2 linked regions of the Danio rerio genome follow. The protein of the gene in region 2 purifies or fractionates together with the protein of the main gene of each other region. This does not show direct contact. Links are inferred from orthologs where the notes say so. Each region holds a gene or a part of one and is shown on either strand. Other genes may lie near its edges.

Region 1 (6,421 bases), on a different chromosome or scaffold from region 2:
ATAAGTGCACTCGATCAGTATGGGTCACTGACAGATGACAGTTGTTCGCACTCCACTTTCTCTCCTGCTTTGCCTTGTCAAGTCCACTCCTCGTTTTCTAAATAATTCTGAGGTAGAATTGTACTGAAAGATGGGGGTTTCAGGCCCCTTTAACAACAATATGGACTTAACTCTGAGAAAATGCTAATCTGTTGTTTTGCTTCTATATTATTTTCTTCATAGGCTCGAAGAAAAGAAGTGTTCCTGCAGGAGCGATATGGACAGTTCAGTCTGACAGACCCATTCCTCGCCATGCAGAGGGACTTTGAGTCAGGGATGGGCCCAAAGGATCGTAGGCCAGTCAGCGCAAGCCCCATCACTGTGCTGGAAGCTGTTATGGCCCACTGCCGTAAGATGCAGGAGAAGATGTCTGCCCAACTCTCGGCTGCTGAGACCAGACAGAAGAGGGTAAGATCTCAATTTGTGAGCATTTAACTCCGTTTATATGTAAAAAACAAGACTACAGAAAGGATTAAGTGATGGGTTTACATATTCCATCTAAAAAAAGTCAGTATTTTCGTAGGAATTGCCTTGACATTGTTACATTTGCTGTCAGAGAGGTTCCTAGTTACTCTCAGGATCATACCTGCCAACCCCTGTCTTCAAAATTGGGGCGTGTGGGGCTGGTCGGAGTTTGGTATTAGCATTGCTTGGGGGGTGGCGGTGTTTGTTTGTCTGAATAATACAGCTGAGAACTGGATTAGTAACTGTACTTTGGTGTTGTAACTCCACTATGGACCGGGATTCGGGCAGCTGCTGAGATCTGATACTATACCAAAGTTAGTGACCCGGGTGTGTTAACGTTACAGACTGTACAGAAAAGCTTTTTATAGGAGTTTTCTGGGAGAAATAACAAAACAGGAGGGTAGTGGGGGATAGGTTTGAACTATGGGAGACTCCCGGCAAAAACGATAGTGTTGGCAGGTATGCTGAGAATATACTGTTTTAGGGATTGTGTTGGAAATAAGTTTTTTTTTATAGCCTTCACGAAAGCAAGGCGCATGCTAGACATGCAGAGTAAAAAAGTGAAAGATAGACAAGGCAAGCAATGGCAGCCCCTGAGAAGAAAAGCAAGTGGTGTCAGAGAAGGAGAGAAATTGACGCTAAGCTCTGAAATACTCTGCCAAACACATCTGTAAATCTATATCTCACCATCTGAGCTAGTGCTACAGAAAATACGAGCTACATGATATCAAAGCTGGGCTTGAGCTTTTAAAACAGATGCAGGCATGCCTCTTTAAAGTGACCTCTGAACTGTCACTGCACACCACTTTTGCAGATCTGAAAGTATCTGTGTTAACTATGGTTTAATGCTTATATTTTTATACAGACTTTATTATTAGTTTAGAAAATACAGTTTATATAAAGGTATGTACAGTAGCATGCATATTTATGTGTTACACTGATCTGAGCTCTCCGTTCCAATAATAAACACTTGTTCTTGGTTGTTATGGCGACAGTACTCTTATTGCATTGGTACTGTAGTAAATGCAACAGCTTTTATATATAGTACCAGTCACACTGAGGAAATGTTAAATGATGTTTAAGAATAGAACAAAATAGTAGTATATAATCACCAGATGGACGTTGTGCTTAAATGTTTTCTGTTACCTCATTATTTCTAAAGAAGTAATATTTCATTTATTGGCTAAAAAGCTTAAGTCTGTACGAGGCGTGCACTTGCATACTGTTAGAGTGGGAATTGCTTGATTACTTTTACACAAGCTGAAAATTACATAAAGTTAAATGAAAGTAACCTGAGATTTGAGGACTTATCCCCAAGTTTAGTTGTACTTGATTTAAAAATTACTGTCAAGGCATGGTTACATTGTAGAAGGAACTGTTGTACCTTTAATACCTTATGTAATTGTGTAGTAATCAGTGTCTTGCTCTATATGTGTGTGTGTGTGTGTGTGTGTGTGTGTGTGTGTGTGTGTGTGTGTGTGTGTTATTTACCCTCTGCGAGTCTCATTTTTGCCCTGCTGCTACTGTCTAGCTTGAAATGGAGAAACTGCAGCTGCAGAGCCTGGAGCAGGAACACAGGAAGCTGTCAGCTCAGCTGAAGGATGAGCGAGAGAAAAACAAACACGTGGTGATGTCACTGGTGCATGAATGCAAGCAGCTAGCTGCTCGTGTGGTCGAAGAGAACCAGCGCTTTGAGGAACTTTCGTCCCGTACTGAGCAGGATGGTCGATCGGTGGGACGTCTGGAAGAAGAACTGGCATCTGAACGACGTCGTAGCCAACAGATGGAAGCGGAGATGGAGAAACAGTTGGCTGAATTTGACACAGAGCGAGAGCAGCTACGTGCCAGGCTTAGCCGCGAGGAGACTCGTGCTGTGGAACTCCGGGCTGAAAGTGAGAATCTCCGCTTGCAGGTGGAGCAGCTAAGAACTGAAAGATGCAAAGATTCCCCACCACTGCCTTCTGTTACCCCAGCATCTGTCTCTGTTAAACCCAAGGCTATGGTGTCTGTGGCTGTGGGCACTGAAGCAACTGTTTGCAAGACTGTCTCTTCTCAGACAGATGCACCGCTGGAAAATGAAGGAGCTAAGAAAGTGCCACTTTCCATCCCTGTCAAGCCTAGTGGCTCCACCTATGCTAGCATGAACCTACCTAAGACCTCCAGTGCAGGACGGGGGCTACACCATGGGAGCTCACAGGCAGAAAATGGAGGGGACGGTCAAACACATCTACATAGCTCACATTCACCTGGTGTATCTTCTACCTTGCCGACTGGGGTTAGTCCCCGCGTCCAGGCAGCCCGTTACAAATTCCAACCCTCTGCCTCAGAGCAGGACCAAAATGGAACCGCAAACCAGAGCCCCCCCTCGCGTGACCTGTCCCCCACAAATCGAGACAACTTTGCAGCTAAACAACAGGCTCGACACACTGTCACACAGGTTCTGTCCCGCTTCACAAGCCCTCCAGCAGGGGGACCCCCTGCAGCCCTTCGGCCCGGTCTGCCACATTCTACATCTGAGGGAGGACCCTTCACAGGACGTTTAGGCCACCCCCAGATAGGCCTTAAATCACCAACTGTGGCCCGAATCGACAGGGGTAACCCACCCCCGATCCCACCAAAAAAACCTGGACTGTCCCAGACACCATCCCCTCCACACCCACCAATTAAAGTAGTAGGTGAAGCTAGCAGGTCCCCAGGAACAGGACTTGGGGTGGGTCTTGCCAAATCAGCTACCACCCCTCAGCTTCCACCAAAACCCTCCTTAGATATGGGTGGTACAGTCCCAGCCATGACTGCGTCACAGGTGGGTGCATCCTGTTCTGGCTGGCCATGGGGGCAGCAGCCAACAGCAGCATGTGTGGAGTGTCCCCCTGTCATCACCTCCTCCACAGCTACCATTGTCAGTAGCCCCTCCATAAACCCATCTAGTCTTCCATCCCATAGCCCCCAGCACCTGGGCAGTCCCCTGGCAGCAGCATCAGGTAAAAGGGTGCTACGTTTTTCACCCTTGCTTTCACTACTTCTCTCTACTCCTCTCCCTTTTCCTACTTGATGCATTTATAAGTAAGTGCCAGCAGAGGAGGACATAGATGTGGAGTATCAAAGAGAGGAGTATTCATACTCTGATTACCCGTCAGTTGCCAGCAGTACTTATGTACAATGTGACCAAGATATGAACATTTGTTTTCTTGAGGGCAGAATTTTCGAATTCAGTAAAGCATTTTTAGATATAAATAGGTAATGTGGGCCCTCTCCCGAGGATGCAGGTCTCTAGGGGTCTTTCCTGTAACCCTTTCTGAAGCTGATGCCAGAGGCTGCTCTTTCCCTTTTCCTGTCATTGCCCTACAGCATGGTTCTGCCTTCCTGTGTTCCACCACTAACTTGATTCCCAAGTCTTAAACTAACAACTCCATTGTGTCCATGCCACTATCTGTTTCTTTCTATTATTGATAAAATTGATACTTGTGAATGTTGTGTTGTTCTCTGCATTTTTAAACATTCACTTCCATGGTTTTAAAAATTTTTGCTATTGACATAATGCACTGTTTTTGTCGTAAACTTGCACATAATAATGTTTAAGTCTCTATTTATTGGTTCTGCAATATATCATTTAATCATTTATATGAAATATAATGCACCATGTTTTTAAGAAGTTTGTAAATCCTTATCTTAAAGCAGAGGTGTCCAGTTCTTTTCCTGGAATGCCAATGTCCTTCAAAATCCATCTCCAACACACCTGTCTGGAATTTGTAGAGACCATGTAGACCTTGGCTGTTTCTCAATCAAGGTACCTCAGAAGAATGAACTCGGGAGACCACGAGAACATAGAATGCAGCCTGTGAGAAATGAGATGCTGTGTTCTTCATACAGCATACAGCAAGTTTAATAATAATTTTTATAAAAAATGTGGCAGTTTCCACCTCTTTTATTTAGCCGCAATGACTTTTGGGTCTTCTACAGCGAGTACTGTGCTCAAATCTGAGCTCAGTATCAAGAACTCATACGGGTTCTTTCACATGTCCTCCATTTTTGCAGTCTTAAGTTTTAGAACTGAACTTTGGCGATTAATGAGGATGTTACACAAAACACAAGGAAGCAATAACGCATAAGAATGCATATTGAGAAATAGCCCTCGATAAATTCTGGAAGACAGTAGGCCTACAGGAACATAATTGGACACCACTTTGAATAATGCTATCCCCCTAAAATACCAGCTTAGGATAAACATTAATGTCCTAGCTTTTCCAGCTGGCTAGTTCTGATTTGGTGTTCTGATTTAGCGTGGCTGGTAGATAGTAAACCACATGGTCTTCCTTGTAAAGTTTTTCTGCTTAAGCTAATTATTTAGTCTGGTGGAGACATCAGTACAGCAACTTAATTTGCTCTGGACGGACATCAGAAACATAAGGTAGTACTAAAAGTGCTTTATAAGAGATGCTGGTTAGAACCATGCATTGGTCTGTAAGCCAAATGTCTGTGACCGTTCCAACTGCAGTTAGATAAAAACGCTGTCAAAAACTTTAGATTTCTCTCACATTTTGAAATACCACACTGTCTCTGCAGGCCTCTTCGTAGCTCTCTGGGAGCTCCAGAGAAAGGCAATTGTAACATCAATGAAAGCAGAGCAAGTATTCCAACAGAGTCTTCCTCTTTATTGTCGCTAGAGACTAATCCACAGGGTAGCTCTGAGAGATGTTGGTAGCTAGCTGTCATCGCTAATTGCTAAATATTAGCACTTTTCTCCCTCTCTCTGCAGCCACTCGGCCATGGCAGTTCTCTGAGGCTTCTCTGCTCTCTCTGCCGCCCATTTTAACCCAGAAAAGAGCCAATTATCTAATGCTTCCACTGGACCCCAATGAAATGGCCTATATCTATCTCTCTCACTTCAACTCCCTCCACTAACAAAGATAAACATAGAGAATCCCTAGAGACAAAGCTATTTACAAACATGCCTTAGCATTAGCACTTAAGATACTAGATTAGTTACATCCCCATTGCAAGATTTGTTATTTGAATTCTGTTTCCACATAGGTGCCAGTTTACCAGTAGCCCTCCCTGCACTTTATTAAACTTCGTCCGTTTCTCTGCTGTAGTTTCCATCTTTCTAACACTCTTTAATTGACGTGACTCTTGTACTCAGCTCCATGTTTAGAACATTTCAGTTTGACTGACAGTTTATATTGCGTGACTTTGATTAATGTACTTTAAACCGCCTGCTGCATGATTTGATTTACGCAGTTACGTTTTGTATTTTATTTAATTGACAAAAAACATGAAGTTGACTTTAGCATATTAAAATGATTTGATTAATAGTATAGAGTGTGTGGATTGCTGATACACTCTAGAATAATACATTTCAGAAGTTGTGTCAAAATGTGTACATCACAAACATTTACCCTTTGTTCCCTGCTGAAAAATCCAGCTTAAACCAGCCTAGGCTGGTTGGCTGGTTTTAGCTGGTTGACCAGGCTGGTTTTAGAGGGATTTTGTCCATTTCCAGGCTGGTTTCCAGCCATTTCCAGCCTGGTCTTAGCTGGAAATGACCAGCCAAATCCAGCTAATACCAGCTTGACCAGCCTGGTTTAAGCTGGATATAGCTGGTTTTGGCTGGACTGCCAGCTTGGCTAGGCTGGTCAAGCTGGTTTTATCTGGTCATCTCCCAGCCTGACCAGCTAAGACCAGGCTGGAAATGGCTGGAAACCAGCCTGGAAGTGGCCAAAACCCCTCTAAAACCAGCCTGGTCAACCAGCTAAAACCAGCCAACCAGCCTAGGCTGGTTTAAGCTGGATTTTTCAGCAGGGTTTTGACTGAATTTTACTTCTCAAAAACAAATTCAGTATGTTCATCTATCTTGAGGGCAATTTGACTACTGAATTACAAAATACTTGTCTCAATCAGCATTGCTCCAATGGCACAG
Region 2 (6,421 bases):
TTAGAAGAATAAAAATGTTAGAATATGCATTAAAGCAAGAAAGGTTTGTGATTCTTTTTTGTAACATTAGTTATTGTAAAAGAAAATGTTGATCAAAGTAAAGCTATTTTCATATTTATATTAAAAAGCTTATGCATGTATGTGTGTGTGTGTTAGTTTATGTATGCCTGTATTTTTAACAAAGATTCTGTCTTTCATTTCTAGAGCAAAATACCATAAATTAAAATATGGGACAGAACTTAATCAAGGTGAAGTGAAAATGCCTAGCTTTGAATCAGGTAAGAGGACCCAACCTATTTTTAAAGTGTATAATATCAGGGTTCACACCCTTCTTGAAAGGACTTGAATTTCAGACATATAGTTTCAAGGTCTGTAAAGTACTTTAAAAAAATGAAGGTCCTTGAAAGTGTTTAAATTATATTTGAAATGACATTAGTTTATGGTTTTATTTTAACAATTGTACTCAATTGTCAAAAAAGAATGATAAAAACAGAAATTATTTTAAAAATGTACATTTATTCTTGTACAATAGCACTGACAAATAATGCACATTTTACCAACATTTCAGAAACCGCATTTGAATGTCACCAATATTGAATTCAACAAATTTTGTTAAAGTTCTTTAAACAGGATTTTTTAATCGGTCAAAAAATGGTTTTAATGTAAATATTAGGTGTAAATGAAATGTTAAGCACAGGAAGGCCTTTCATATGCTGGAGTGTGAATTACAAAGTGCTTGATTTAAAATTAATGGTGCTTTAAAAAGTCCTTAAGAGTCTTGAATTTGCTGTTCACGAAAGCATGGGAACCCTGTAATATACAATACAGTCTGATATCTATTATATATTTTTTTTTACAATGGACCTTTTCACAAGAGTGTTATGACGCTTTTAACAGTCATCATAATCTTAAATTCTTGAAAGTTTTTCAATATTTTTATTTTTTTTAAACGTATGTATATTTATGTTTTTACATCTTTATTATATCTTCTTTGCATGAAATTACAAAAAACGAAATGCTGATAGTGCAAGGTGTTTGTAATGCAGCATCTATGGACAGGACAGTAAATTTAATGTTGTTCTTTCTTCTGGCTGTTATTAGTATCACACTTTTTTTTTTCTTTTTCTGAAAGTCTTCATAACACCATTGTGGTGTTTTTCTTTTGAGATTTCAGCAAATAGGATTGTAAAAAAAGTTAAAATTGTTGTACTCTCCATTCACTGTGCACTAAGTTTACCTAACTATGATGACTTCTGCTACTTAGAAACCAAAAAATGTGAAATGGATCTATTTGAAATATTAAATGTATATATAATGTATTTCTGTTAAAGTTTAATTTTTCAGCATACATTCTTCAGTCATGTTATTATTATTATCATTATTATTATTAAAAATGTTACTATTACTAGTTTAACCAGATATAAAGTATGATACATTTGTAATCTATTTATGTTTGATAGCTAACAGCTTTTGAAAACTAACAGTACTTTTACTAACAGTAATATTAGTGATTAATATTAGGGATGCACTTGGTTGGAAACCTAAAGACGTTTTATGTTAATGTTTATCACTGTTTTACATTTTTATAAATTTTAAATTTTCTGATTAAAATCAACAAAATTTGAAGGTTGAGACTTTCTAGTTGTTTCATATAAAAGCAATAGACATTAGACCTACCCATAAAGTCCACACATTTAACTGTTGTAGTTTGACCTTGTTATGTCAAGCTGAGCAATCAAATTGACCCATCAGAGAATCTCCAAATAAATGTGACTTTGTTTTAATCAACCACTTCAGTCCTTCAAAACCATTTCATCCTCAATCTGAAAATAATTTTTTCTAACGGAATATCCAGAAACATTTTAATGGTTGTATGCATGTATTTTTTTGTTCTGGAATCTCAAATGTGTTTGTTATCACTTTATTTTGATGGTCCCTTTAATGCATTTTGTTGAATTTAAGTTGCATTGCATCTATATGCCAACTAATTCTCAATAGGTTATAAGTAGTGTTAGGTTGGGGTTAGGGTTACGGTTAGTGTAATTTGACATGTACTTGTAAAGTTTCAAATAGTCAGTTAAATGTGTTGATGGAGCAGAATCAGCAGATATTAAGCTGAAAGTCTACTAATACTCAAATGAGATGTAATTGACATGTAGTTGAAATGCAACTTTTAGTCAATAAAATGTGCAATAGGGACCATCAAAATAAAGTTTTGCCATGTGTTTTATTAAACTTTTGTATTTTTCTGTTTCATAAAGAAGATACCAAAGATACAGAGGTCTCAGCTATACCACAGAATAGCCAGTTAACGTGGAAACAGGGCAGGCAACTTCTCAGACAGTAAGTTAGCCTTGAGTCATTATACTTTTCCTAATGACGCTTGTGCATTCCGTGTGTGCGTGCATTTCAGTTCTGCTAAGAAAGTTCATAGGCATCTGTGTTGTCACGTTATCACTATTTATATCACCGGCTCTGTTCTGACCGACTTTACGCATCTGTCTTTTCAAGATATCTTCAGGAAGTAGGTTATACGGACACAATACTGGACGTCCGGACGCAGCGAGTGCGGTCATTACTAGGACTGTCCGGCTCAGAGCAGAATGGTTCCGTGGAAACCAAGAACCTAGAACAAATTCTAAATGGAGGCGAATCTCCAGCCAAAAGAAAGGGACAAGACATGAAAAGGTGTTGATTGATTTGATTTGATGCAACTGGTAAATTCATATAAACAATTAAATGAGATTTCTTAACGTTGTCTGTGATGCCTTTTGTTTAACAGGAATCCAGAAGTTCTGGAGACATTTAATTTTTTAGAAAACGCTGATGATAGTGATGAAGAAGATGATGATGAGGGTGATATAATGGAGGATGTGCCTGACAGGAGCGATAAACGCAGAATAAAAAAACATAAGATTAAGGTGTGTAACCAGGATATTTTACATGTCAATGATCTCAAAGTAGTCATTCTCAGGATATAGAAGTTCATGTGTTGTAGTCTTGACTACTTTTCCAGGTCGGAAATGAAGGATTGGCTTCAGACTTGCCGGATGACCCTGACACAGAGGACGCACTCAAAGAGTTTGACTTTTTGGTGAATGCGGAGGATGGAGAAGGTGCTGGGGAAGCTCGGAGTTCTGGAGACGGCACAGAGTGGGGTAAATAGTTTGCTTTTTACTTTAATGCTGCTTTACTATGGTACATCACACTTTTGGGAGATTTGCACTGTGCAGAGTACCTGGTATACCTCTGTTGAGTTTTGAAGTGAGCTGTGCAGAAACTAAAAGAGAGAATCGTCACTACCTGCGTCATTGTAACACGACACAACAAACCTGCAAGATGTAAATAAATAGTCAGCATCAGCCGCTGTGGGATTATTTTCAATGACTGACACGCATCTTCTAATGGCTGTATCATGGTCAGTAGAGAAGGTGCAGACGTTCCTCATGTTGATATTCAAGAAGCAGATCCAGTGTGATCTGGATGTGGCAACCAGGAATTAGGTTACATTTTAGTAGATGCGGTGCAAAAAAACGTATAATCTCATCCACTTTGCTTTTTTTTAACCACACAGTGAAAAAGTGACTTAAGGCTACATTTTCTTGTCAACAATGTAACCAAAAACTGAAAACTTTTTTTACTTGCATTAAAAAAAAGTTTCACATTTACATATCTTTTTCAAAATACATTTATGAAAATGTCCTAAAACACTGATTTATATTTGGCAGAGCAGTATTTGATGTTTTCACCTTGTTAGTAGGGCTGCATAATGTTAAAAAAACTGATATGGCAATATTTAGTTTTGCTGCGATATAATATTGCGTTATGAATATAATCACTAGATTCACTGAATAGCTCCAACCTATTTGGAAAGATGTCATTCTTTGAGATTGACTGAGGTGATCAAATCTATTTCTATGCAGTGTGTCTAAATATGACAGAGTAAAAATAAAAGTTTAATAAACAGTGCTTTTTTTGTGGAGTCTAACAGTATTCAAATACAAAACCATACAAAAATATTGTACAAATCATTGTTTAAACCTTGTATGCAATAATATAAAAATTATATTCAGCATTTTCTTTATATTTTGATATTTAATCAATTGAATACTGCGATGTGACTATTGTGGAAAAACACATTGCGAAATCAATGCGCAAGCGGTATATTGTTCAGCCCTACTTGTTAGAAAATAGTACCCCAAGGAAGGAATGATGTTCAGTTGGCGGCTCTGCGCTGATGTTTATGTAGAATTCAAAGTGTGTAAGATGCGTCTATGCTGTTGCTTGTAATGCAAAGTAAATCCACACCTTGCTCCTGAAGCATTAGCCAACAGTTGAGCATCAACAACACTAGCATGTACTGTGCCACTGTTGTGTGTTTATTTGGGCTTGCCTTTAATCTGCATCTCCCTAAATGTGCACACACATGACGTCATTGTGTAAGCCCCAAAAAAATAGTTATTGAAAAAAAGGCGACAATGTTCTTAATAACTTTAACTTTGAAATCCATTTTCATATTTATGCAGGTAATGTCACAGAAATGCTAAACGAACAAGCAAAATACTTCAAACGTTTTGAGATATTGGCTGAAATTGTTGTCGCATAAAGAGCCACTAAGTGTGACTGAGTATAATTTGTGTTATTGAGTGAAAAACACAGGTCACATTGGTGTGCAAGTCTATAATTCATTCCAAAGTAGTATGAAATTGGCTGCCAGTAGCCCTAAATAAACTGAAATGCCTACAGACATTATAAACGTATATTCTACTATGTCACTCTACAACAAATCTTTTTAATAGTGCTCAGTACAGAAAAGGAACAATAGGTATGAAAAAACTATCAAGAATAAAAAGCAGTTGTTATGTCAGTGGCTGAAAGCATAATTCAATATAAATGTCAAGTCTAAACTTGTTTATTCAAAGCAAAACTGAAATGATTAGCATTATTATATATATATATATATATATATATATATATATATATATATATATATATATATATATATATATATATATATATATATATATATATATAAAATATGTGCTATAATCTAAATAGTTGTGTGTCTCATTCATCACCAATCCACCAATGCATTTGTTTTGCTCACCTCATACTAATTCCATTAAGTCACTTTGGAGTTTAGGTTGCATCCTTTTTAAATGAAAAAATGTCTTATATTTTGAAATACATAATAATTGTCAAGTGATGAAACAGGGCACATCTCTTAATATTCTTACAGGATTTGAGTGTTTGATTATTAAGCAGGACATCCTTATTAGTGTGTAGTATTGAAATATGGACTGAAATTTAAAGGTTCATCCAAACAAGAACTATTTATTATCAACCCAGCCTAGTGTTGATCCAGCTCTGTTTTTTATATTAGATTTTAGAATGTTCATTTATTTGTGATTGGTCAAATCAAAAGTGGTTTATATTGAAGACTTCTAAACAGGACATCATAGCACCATAGTGATGCTATAATTGTTTTTTTTTTTTATGACAACAGATTTTCAGCAGCCATTACTTGTCACATGATCCTTTAGAAGTAAATAAAACATATTGATGTGTTAATAAAGAATATAATTTTTTTATTGCCCCAAATATGACATTGTTGATTTTGACTTTTTGTGGTCTTACAAAGCTTGGAACATACAGGTGATGATGATAGTCCATTAGTAAACATTAGCATTAATGTTTAGTGTATGGAAATGAGCTGTTTTGACATTATGCAAGTTTGCTAGTCTTTTAATTAAAGAAAAGAGACTGCATAAATGTGAAAACATAATGAACTATATGAATCTGTGTCTGTATGGGCATGTGTGTTCCTTGCATGTGATTGTGGCACACACCGGCCCTGCAGTAGAATCTTAACGAGGCCAGTTGCTGCATCAGCATTCCTGCCAGGAGATTCTCTTACTGCTCCGACCAGAGCCAGCTGGGTCAAACACATCAGCTCATTACATCCATCCCGCAGCCGTGCTTTTTCTTTTTGTATCTCTCACTCTTTTTATCTTACTCACTTCTCTTTGACCTATTTCTAAGCTAAGGATTATGTAAATCTTACTATAGAGTATGCATTTTTGATAAAGTAGCATAATTATGTGTGAAGTGTCACCCCTAAATTGGGATGTTTATTACATTTAAACATTTGATCAATACGTGGTGTATTCCTGAAACATAAACTCTGTTGATTAACCCAGACTTTTGTTTCTGAACGTTTCTTCATTCCAAAAGTTTGCAAGCAAAGTTACCTTTTCAAAGTGAGCATTTTAACTCCAGGTCCAGGTGTATCATAATTCTTTCTTTTAATTCGTCACACCCATTGCGGCTTCATTAATAAGACATGCATGCACCTAACACCTCTAAAGTAAATTAAGCCGGAAACATAAACCTCTCTAAAGCAGTTGTTCAGAAAGAATTT

Evidence for each region. Proteins that work in one complex are often made in the same cells at the same time.
Region 1: the proteins of strn3 (region 2) and cttnbp2 purify together in Homo sapiens (affinity purification with mass spectrometry; 4 studies listed by BioGRID and IntAct, with this or other methods). This does not show direct contact. The link is inferred for Danio rerio from reciprocal best matches to the Homo sapiens genes STRN3 and CTTNBP2.

What each region holds. Positions count from the first base shown.
Region 1 is NC_133193.1:22,153,828-22,160,248, reverse strand, and holds part of cttnbp2 (cortactin-binding protein 2), read left to right. Parts: intron 1-222; coding exon 223-447; intron 448-2,035; coding exon 2,036-3,485; intron 3,486-5,260; exon of another isoform or gene 5,261-5,905; intron 5,906-6,303; exon of another isoform or gene 6,304-6,421. UniProt on the Homo sapiens protein: Regulates the dendritic spine distribution of CTTN/cortactin in hippocampal neurons, and thus controls dendritic spinogenesis and dendritic spine maintenance.
Region 2 is NC_133192.1:30,200,683-30,207,103, forward strand, and holds part of strn3 (striatin-3), read left to right. Parts: coding exon 1-43; intron 44-204; coding exon 205-278; intron 279-2,261; coding exon 2,262-2,343; intron 2,344-2,511; coding exon 2,512-2,688; intron 2,689-2,782; coding exon 2,783-2,921; intron 2,922-3,016; coding exon 3,017-3,158; intron 3,159-6,421. UniProt on the Homo sapiens protein: Calmodulin-binding scaffolding protein which is the center of the striatin-interacting phosphatase and kinase (STRIPAK) complexes.